Linked DNA regions of Arabidopsis thaliana. The protein of the gene in region 2 interacts with the protein of the main gene of each other region in a biochemical or structural test. Each region holds a gene or a part of one and is shown on either strand. Other genes may lie near its edges.

Evidence for each region.
Region 1: the proteins of RIC6 (region 2) and ROP1 form a complex in vitro, tested with the Arabidopsis thaliana proteins (one study listed by BioGRID).

What each region holds. Positions count from the first base shown.
Region 1 is NC_003074.8:19,041,035-19,044,893, forward strand, and holds ROP1 (RHO-related protein from plants 1), read left to right. Parts: upstream 1-1,823; 5' UTR 1,824-2,162; coding exon 2,163-2,261; intron 2,262-2,351; coding exon 2,352-2,439; intron 2,440-2,530; coding exon 2,531-2,640; intron 2,641-2,723; coding exon 2,724-2,787; intron 2,788-2,867; coding exon 2,868-2,998; intron 2,999-3,079; coding exon 3,080-3,181; 3' UTR 3,182-3,359; downstream 3,360-3,859. Other genes in the region: AT3G51290 (pyridoxal-phosphate-dependent serine hydroxymethyltransferase, putative (DUF632)), read left to right, coding at 316-539, 629-1,382, 2,352-2,439, 2,531-2,640, 2,724-2,787, 2,868-2,998, 3,080-3,181; VPS35C (VPS35 homolog C), read right to left, coding at 3,600-3,813. UniProt on the Arabidopsis thaliana protein: May be involved in cell polarity control during the actin-dependent tip growth of pollen tubes. May regulate callose synthase 1 (CALS1) activity through the interaction with UGT1.
Region 2 is NC_003071.7:8,807,837-8,812,291, forward strand, and holds RIC6 (ROP-interactive CRIB motif-containing protein 6), read right to left. Parts: upstream 2,365-4,455; 5' UTR 1,946-2,364; coding exon 1,873-1,945; intron 1,629-1,872; coding exon 1,522-1,628; exon of another isoform or gene 1,334-1,521; intron 1,290-1,333; coding exon 831-1,289; 3' UTR 578-830; downstream 1-577. Other genes in the region: AT2G20420 (ATP citrate lyase (ACL) family protein), read left to right, coding at 1-22; AT2G20440 (Ypt/Rab-GAP domain of gyp1p superfamily protein), read right to left, coding at 3,198-3,218, 3,309-3,392, 3,483-3,728, 3,891-3,988, 4,053-4,158, 4,251-4,339, 4,420-4,455. UniProt on the Arabidopsis thaliana protein: Functions as a downstream effector of Rho-related GTP binding proteins of the 'Rho of Plants' (ROPs) family. Participates in the propagation of ROP GTPase signals in specific cellular responses.

The DNA.
Region 1 (3,859 bases), on a different chromosome or scaffold from region 2:
ATCTTTGATGTATCTTCATATGTTAAGTTTTGTGGAAAGAGTTTGAAAATGTTGTTTATATTCAGTTTGAAGTTTGAATATTGAAATTGCTTGCTTAGATTTCATCCAAATATGGATAAATGTTTTGTTTTTGGGAATTTGGTTGATTCATGTGGGCATTAAAGGCTTGTGGTGGGTCCAAGCGTGAGCAGATAGTGTAAGAGACCCACGTGTGTACTTAATTCTGATGAATAATGTGTTATGTACACTGGCACAAATATCTTGCCAAGTAGTGAGTGAGTGTTTGTTGTTTTTTGAATGTGGGTTTTGTTGCAGTATGCAGAGAGCATAAAGATGGATCATGAGAAGAAAGTGGAGCAAGTGAGGAGGCTTGAGATGAAGAGAGCTGAGTATGTCAAGACTGAGAAGGCTAAGAAAGACGTCGAGAAGTTAGAATCTCAGCTCTCAGTATCTTCACAAGCCATCCAAAGCGCCTCTAACGAGATCATCAAGCTCAGAGAGACCGAGCTTTACCCTCAGCTTGTCGAGCTTGTTAAAGGGTTTGTTTTGTGCATTCCCATTGCTTCATTAACCTAAAGTATCTTATGTTGGTCAATGTGAACAAGGTTCTTGTATGAATGTAATGTAGGCTAATGTGTATGTGGAGGAGTATGTACGAGAGCCACCAGGTTCAAACCCATATTGTGCAGCAGCTTAAGTACCTTAACACCATCCCCTCCACTGAACCAACATCTGAGCTTCACCGACAATCAACTCTTCAGCTTGAGCTCGAGGTCCAACAATGGCATCACTCTTTCTGCAACTTGGTCAAGGCCCAACGTGACTACATACAATCTCTCACGGGCTGGCTCAGGTTAAGTCTGTTCCAGTTCAGCAAGAATCCACTTGTTAGGAGTAGCTACGAGTCAAAGATCTACAGCTTCTGCGAGGAATGGCATTTAGCTATTGACAGGATCCCTGATAAAGTAGCATCTGAAGGGATCAAAAGCTTTCTGACAGCAGTCCATGGAATTGTGGCTCAACAAGCCGACGAGCATAAGCAAAAGAAGAGAACAGAATCCATGTTAAAAGATTTCGAGAAGAAATCGGCTTCGCTGAGAGCGCTTGAGAGCAAGTATAGTCCATACTCGGTACCTGAGAGTAGGAAAAAGAACCCGGTGATAGAGAAGAGAGTAAAGGTTGAGATGCTAAAAGGAAAAGCAGAAGAAGAGAAAAGTAAGCATGAGAAGTCAGTGAGTGTGACTAGAGCCATGACTCTAAATAACTTGCAGATGGGTTTCCCTCATGTCTTTCAGGCAATGGTTGGGTTTTCAAGTGTGTGTATGCAAGCCTTTGAGTCTGTGTACAACCAAGCTAAGAGCATCGGTGAGGATCAAGAGGAGGTTAAGAGGTTGCTTCCTTAAAGAGAGAAAGACAAATTGTTTTACCATTTGCTCTCTGTTTTTGCTTGATCCAAGCTAATCTTTTGGTTGAATGTTAGGTTGAGTTTATGCTGTTTTCGAAATGAAATTGGTTAAATGACTTTTCATTGAATCACTGCTTGAAACTTCATCAATTCAACTACTTCTTAGCCAAGTCAAATCATTGGAAGGTGACCTACCAAGGTATTATTAACATTGGAGAAGTGTTAGTTAGTTAGTTAGTGAGGTAGTTAAGGGGATTGCTTAAAGAAGTAAGCAAGTTTAATGATAATCAAACACTCGTGATGTGTACGTAACAGAAGAAAAGAGAGATGATTCGTTTGAGCGGCAGAAAAAGACAAGTGCCTAATTTGATTTCCCATAAATAAACACACAATCGATTGGTAATTTTGATTAGTTGGGAGCTATTAAAAGAGGAAATCCACAATAATCGGAAATAGAAAGACAAGTTTGGTTAGCGGAACGTTTCAACGCCATTTTTCCCGGCCAAAGCTAACTCTAACTAACTCTTTGTTTTTTTTCGGTTTTTGTGCCATCTTCCAGTTTTCATTTTTTTTGTTTCCCCTCTATCTTTTTGGGTAATAGGGTTTCTAATCTCTGGGACAAACTCCAATCGTTTCGAATCCGCAATGCCCAGATGGTCGATCAATAGAAATATCAAGAGTCTCCAATTCCAAAGGCTAAATCTTTGAGATCTTTTTTTTTATAAATTTCCCTGAAATTAATAAACTTTGAGGGGAAATGAGCGCTTCGAGGTTCGTAAAGTGCGTGACGGTTGGTGATGGAGCTGTCGGAAAAACTTGTTTGTTGATTTCTTACACAAGCAACACTTTCCCTACGGTTATGTCCCAATTATTCTTTCATGTTTCTTGTTTCATTACCACAACAACAACATATCTCATGTTTCTTGTTTCTTTTGTGGATATACAGGATTATGTGCCTACCGTTTTCGATAATTTCAGTGCCAATGTTGTGGTTAATGGAAGCACTGTGAATCTTGGATTGTGGGACACTGCAGGTTTTTCATTTTCCTATATATCTTGGTGTTTGAAATTTGGAATATGGTTTTTGGATCTGAAGATTTTGAAAATTTGGGTATGAATAAACAGGGCAAGAGGATTACAATAGATTAAGACCACTGAGTTACCGTGGAGCAGATGTTTTCATTTTGGCCTTCTCTCTTATCAGTAAAGCCAGTTATGAAAACGTCTCCAAAAAGGTTTTAAAAATCCATCAATCTTGTTTCATATTATTGAGTTTTCGTCACATTTTTTGAACTCTTGTCACAAATTGTGTTTGCAGTGGATCCCGGAGTTGAAACATTACGCGCCTGGTGTCCCCATCGTCCTTGTTGGAACAAAGCTTGGTGAGTTTTCCATTGTTTTTTCCTGATCTCGCTCCTTTTACTTTATTAGTTGTGACTGAGTTTGTGTTTTTGCTCTCCAGATCTTCGAGATGATAAACAGTTCTTTATCGACCATCCTGGTGCTGTTCCGATTACTACTGCTCAGGGAGAGGAGCTGAGGAAGCAAATAGGAGCACCTACTTACATCGAATGCAGTTCCAAAACTCAAGAGGTACGTAGATTAGTATATATACCCTTGTTGCAGATTTCTAATGTTAATGTTAATGCTAATGTTGATGATGTGAGAGTGCAGAATGTGAAGGCGGTGTTTGACGCAGCCATCCGAGTGGTGTTGCAACCGCCAAAGCAGAAGAAGAAGAAGAGCAAAGCGCAGAAGGCATGCTCCATTCTATGATGATTGGAAATCTCTGTTTTTATGTATTTGGTTTTGGTATATTAATCTTCTAACAATGAATGAATCAATGTGTTAATGGACAGACACCCAAGTTTGACTGGTCCTTTTTGTTCTTAATATTAATGGAGTTTGTCGGAATCAACGTTTCTTTTGCTTCTACGATTCAGTCCTATGCATAATTCCACACAAACACCACATGTTTTGAATCAGTTTTCATTCCCACCATTTCTTCAGCTGACCATATTTTGTATGTTACTGTTTTAAACTTTGCAAACATGTTTATTGGTAGAGAGTGTAACTAGGAAATGAAAAGTAATGATACAAGTTTTATTTCTCAAGATTACTCTTCATGCTTCTGCAACAAGACGAGAAGCCATTGATTATTGATGATTTGCCTAACAGAATGCAAGAAATAAATTCATTCAAACCATTCCATTTTGATTTTCTCGTATTTCTCATTCATGCCACCATCTTCTTGCTGTCTCTGAAACTCGATGTAACGTAGAGTACTATTTATGAATGGCTCTGCGCCTGACTCAACCTTCTTTGTCTCGCTTTTGATTAATTCAGCTAAGCTCTTGATTGTATCGCCTGTTACTTGTTGGTTTCCTTTCTCCAGGAAGTAGAGATACCTGCATTTGACTCGTAAAACCATTAAGAGAAAGCAGTGACAACTGG
Region 2 (4,455 bases):
GGTTAAAGCTTTAGCTCACTAATCTCTCTATATATACCAAAAGCCGGTTTGTTAATTGTTTTGTGGTTGACGCCCAATTTACACTTTCTTGCGGATATCATTTCCTCAAACAGATCAATAATGAACTGGTCTCCTTTTTTTGTGTGATCCATCCAAAGAGATTCAAATCAGAATTCTCAATATCTTTTTGTATTTAACCAACTCATATGGTTGATACTAGGGTTTCAAGTTTATCTCATACGTACTGTTCCTATCATGAATAAAAATCGTTTTTGTGGGAAGCCACACTATAGCTGTCACTGAAACAACAAAATTAATCCCTCTCTCTACAAAAGGCTTTCACAAAACAGAGCTGTCCTCTGTTTCCAATTTAACGGTCAAAACGATAAACTTATTTTTTGATAGAATGTTAATTATATTACCAAAAGGAAAGAAGATTATTTACAAAAACTTTTGACCAGGATTGCAGCTCCATTGTTGTAGTGATGCAGCTCTATTGCTGAGGGCTATGATGAAGAGGAAAATCACACTAACACTACTCAGCTCTTGTCCAAGAAGTTTTTATTCATATATAGGGTTTCTAGTAAAGTGAAAGATGCTGTTGATTTGTTCTGTAAGAATGCTCTTTTATATTTATGATCGACGTCAATGATGATCTATGTTCAAGTGATTTGGATGATAGCACCGAAAAATATTTGTCTAAATTCTCCTTGCATAGTTAATAATAGTACAAGAATGAACAAGAAAATCTAACAATTGGTGTGTTGTGTTCAATGAAAATTAGCCATTTGGAGCTAGCAGCAAAGTCTCTATATATGTCGTCTCTCCTTTCAAAAATCATCTCTATTGTCGAATTGAGGCATAGATCTCACAGAACCAGTCTCAGACATATATTCCGACATGTTATCGACATCAGATCTTCTTGTCGATCTTGATGACCCTCCATTAACCGCGGTTTCTTTCGTCGACTTCTTCTTCCTCCTAGATTTCTTTGGAATTTCCGGTAATCCACTAGGCCAAGAAGACAACTCGTCTTGTTCTTCAGTGGCTTCCTTTGGTCTCCTCGACGATGACGATGTCCCTTTGTTAGAAGAGCGACGTTTAGTTTTGTCTGATGATTTGTCTTTTGTCGGAGAACCTTTCTCGGACGCTGCTTTCCTCGTAGATTTTGGTAGGTTTGGCAAATCTCTAGACCGACCACCATATTCCGACATACATTTTATGGAGGAATCATCTTCTCCGACTCCTTCAGCAGATTCGAATCCCCCGCCGGAGTTGAACTCAGTCATCTTTCAAATCACATAACATTAACCAAATCAATTCGACATTTTCTGAAAACGTTTTAGGTCAAATTTTTAATATATATGACCTCGTAGATTTGAGTCAAGTATTAATCTAGAGCTCACATCCATCCAAATATGCGTAGGATAATAAAACAATCTTTCATTTGCCTATTTTATCACGATTATTGTTTACGCCTTTTAAGAATTACCAAAGAAGTAGAAAAGAGTAAAAACATACCCAGCTTGGTGCGGTGGCATTAGCGGATGGTCCATCCCAACCGATATGGGCAACATGTTTTACGTCCGTTGGATTTCCGATTTGTATTTCTTCTTCTTTTTCACTTTCTATCATCATTAAAAGAAAGAAACAAGAAAGTATAATCAATCATTTAGATTCATCCTCAATCCATATAAACGTACTTGCAATGCATGCATGCAAATTTTCTACGTGATTTGCATCATAGTAATTCAAAACTGATCATGAAGTTCGAGTTTTTATATAAGGAAAAAAGGATTTATCATATGTATAAACTCTTATGCGAACAAAAATCAGAAGAAATTAAACAAGAGATCTATAGGGTGAACTTACCAAATACTTGAGAAATGTATCGGAGCCCTTTCAAGAGGCTTTTCATCTTGGAGCTTGACATTGTGAGTTGCATAGATCTCTTTTTAGGTTTATGATTTCTTTTTTAAATAAGAAAAATGGGAGTACAGAAGAACAAAATGATAGGTTTTGAAAACTCACTTTTCCCAGAAAATAAGAAAGTGGTGGCAGTAAATATTGAGGAAACAAAATGATAGATAAAAAAAATTGTGTATATAGTCAAGACTCCAAAATATTGTTCAGAGAGAAACAAGAATTCATCTCAGAAAATTGTAGGTTTATCTTTCTGCAGATTCTTCTATATATCAAAAAGAACAAATTGATAATCCTAATAAGAAAAGATTTAAGAATACATAAACAAAATTCCTTTGAAATTTACCTACAAAATCCTCAGAGTACTCCAAGAGGAAAAAAAAAGCATCAAACGAAGAAACTAAGAATCAAAAATGAAGGAAACTAAGAAGATGTTTGTTTGAATGATGGGTTGAGAGCGTATACAGGTGATACGGCAAAAAAAGAGTGCAAAAATGTTTGTTTAAACCAAAATTTTCGTTAATCTGATGGTTACAATTTGTTTATCTATTACTATCAGAAATCAATCAAAAATTAGAATTAGTATATAGAAATTACGTTATTCTGTTCCATCAAATGAATAATCATTAACATTAATTTTCTTTTGTCTCTCTCTGTTTTTTTTTTTCTTTTCCAAATCTTAGTAAACTTCAATGTATGTAGAGAATGTGTTAATTAAACTCTTAAATTAATTTAGAAAATGGTACAAAAACATGAATTTTCTTTTATTCTCACACATAGATCACATAAATTAATAAATGTGTGAATTATATGCTGTAACACAATTTTTTTTGACGAAAATATTCTCTCAATTTTTGTATGTCTCTATGTCATTTGCTATTAGCAAATAAAAATATTAATTTACTTTAATTAAAAAATAATCATTATATACATTTAACGATTTTTCTTAAGATTATACATTCATGCAAAACAGAAAAATGTGAAAAAGAAATATCACCAAGAGTCAAATAATGTAAGGAGAGGTTAGTGGCCCGTACGTAGTTCATTCGTATAACTGAAAAACGGCACACATTTTACCACAAAATACATAGAACATCAGAAAATGAACAAATTAAAAAAAAAAAAAAAAATTATTCAGCAGAGGATTCTCATCAATCTCCTTCCAGAACCTTTCAAGAAAATTTCTGGCCGGCAATGAACAATCTTCTGATCAAAAACTGTATTAGTATATGTTTGATATATAAAGTCGTCGAGTAGAAGTTTTGAGCAAATCTTTATTGCTTATTACTATTAGCCTGCAAGAAACACACAACAACACCATCTGCATTAGTATAACTGTATATCATATTATATCTTCCCCAAGTTATAGTGATAGTGAAAGAAACCTTTTTCAGGAATTTTTCATGGATCTTCAACGCTTCTTTACATGCTTTTTTGGCGTCAAGATTACCCGCAATGTCTCCTAGTATCTGCATACCAACTTTAACTTTGAAGTTCCAGAGTTTGATTTTTCCTTGTTTGGCTTTGAGAGAAACGAGTGAAAAGATACAGAGACAGACCTGAACAACATCGTCTAAGCCTTTGGCCTCCTTCAAGAGACGTTTGTTCTTTGTCTGTAGAACGCTTGCGACCACAAAAACAGCAAGCGTGTTGCGATGTTGCTCGTTCTGCCCACTGTTTATGTATTTCCTTTCAAACTTGCCATACCGTTTTAGTAACTTGGGATCGGATGCTGCGTTGTTTCGGTTTTCTAGTTCCTCGTACGTTGCAAACATGGTTGGATTGTACTCCATCGCCCACATCAGCTGCAACCATAATCCATCTCACATTATTCTCATTACCCAAACAGCAGATAACGCAAAAAAGAAGAAGATAATAAACACACAGCAAGATCTTACGGCTTCATAAACAATCACGGCAAGTAAAACCAGGAACCAAGAAAAGAAATGCAGAAAGTTTGTCATTACCTCCCAAAGGTACAAAGCGTCAAGGAAAGAGAATTCTCTCCTGAAAAGTACCATCAGCATCCGAATAGCAAATAGATACTCCCCACCATCGAGATCCTCTGTCACATTAACACGTTTTAGCCCACCACAAGAAGAGTTTTTATGATAGGAAAACACTCTTACCTAGATGTTGATGGAGACGAGGATCCACTGTCTTAATGACCTGTGAGAGCACACCCAGTTGAGTCTGGACACCCATTGATGTTGCTGTTGCCCTGAAATTTTCTCTCTGAAATTCAAAGAAAACAATAAACCGTGAATACAATGGTCTGGTAATGACATGAAACATGAGAAGTTATGTCATAGGCTATTAGTTATTACTAGTCTCCGCATTGCCCGCTCAAAGCACCAGAAAGCGTCGCCTTCATCATCAAAGAGGATTATCATTGGGGAACATATATCATTCATTCCTACATGAATAGACAAAGTGGATCAGTTCTGTTTCTTATATAGTTTCAAAAGATTAATCGTTAACAGCAAGTACACTTACCCTGAACATAACCAATATCAAGATTCAACCACGTAT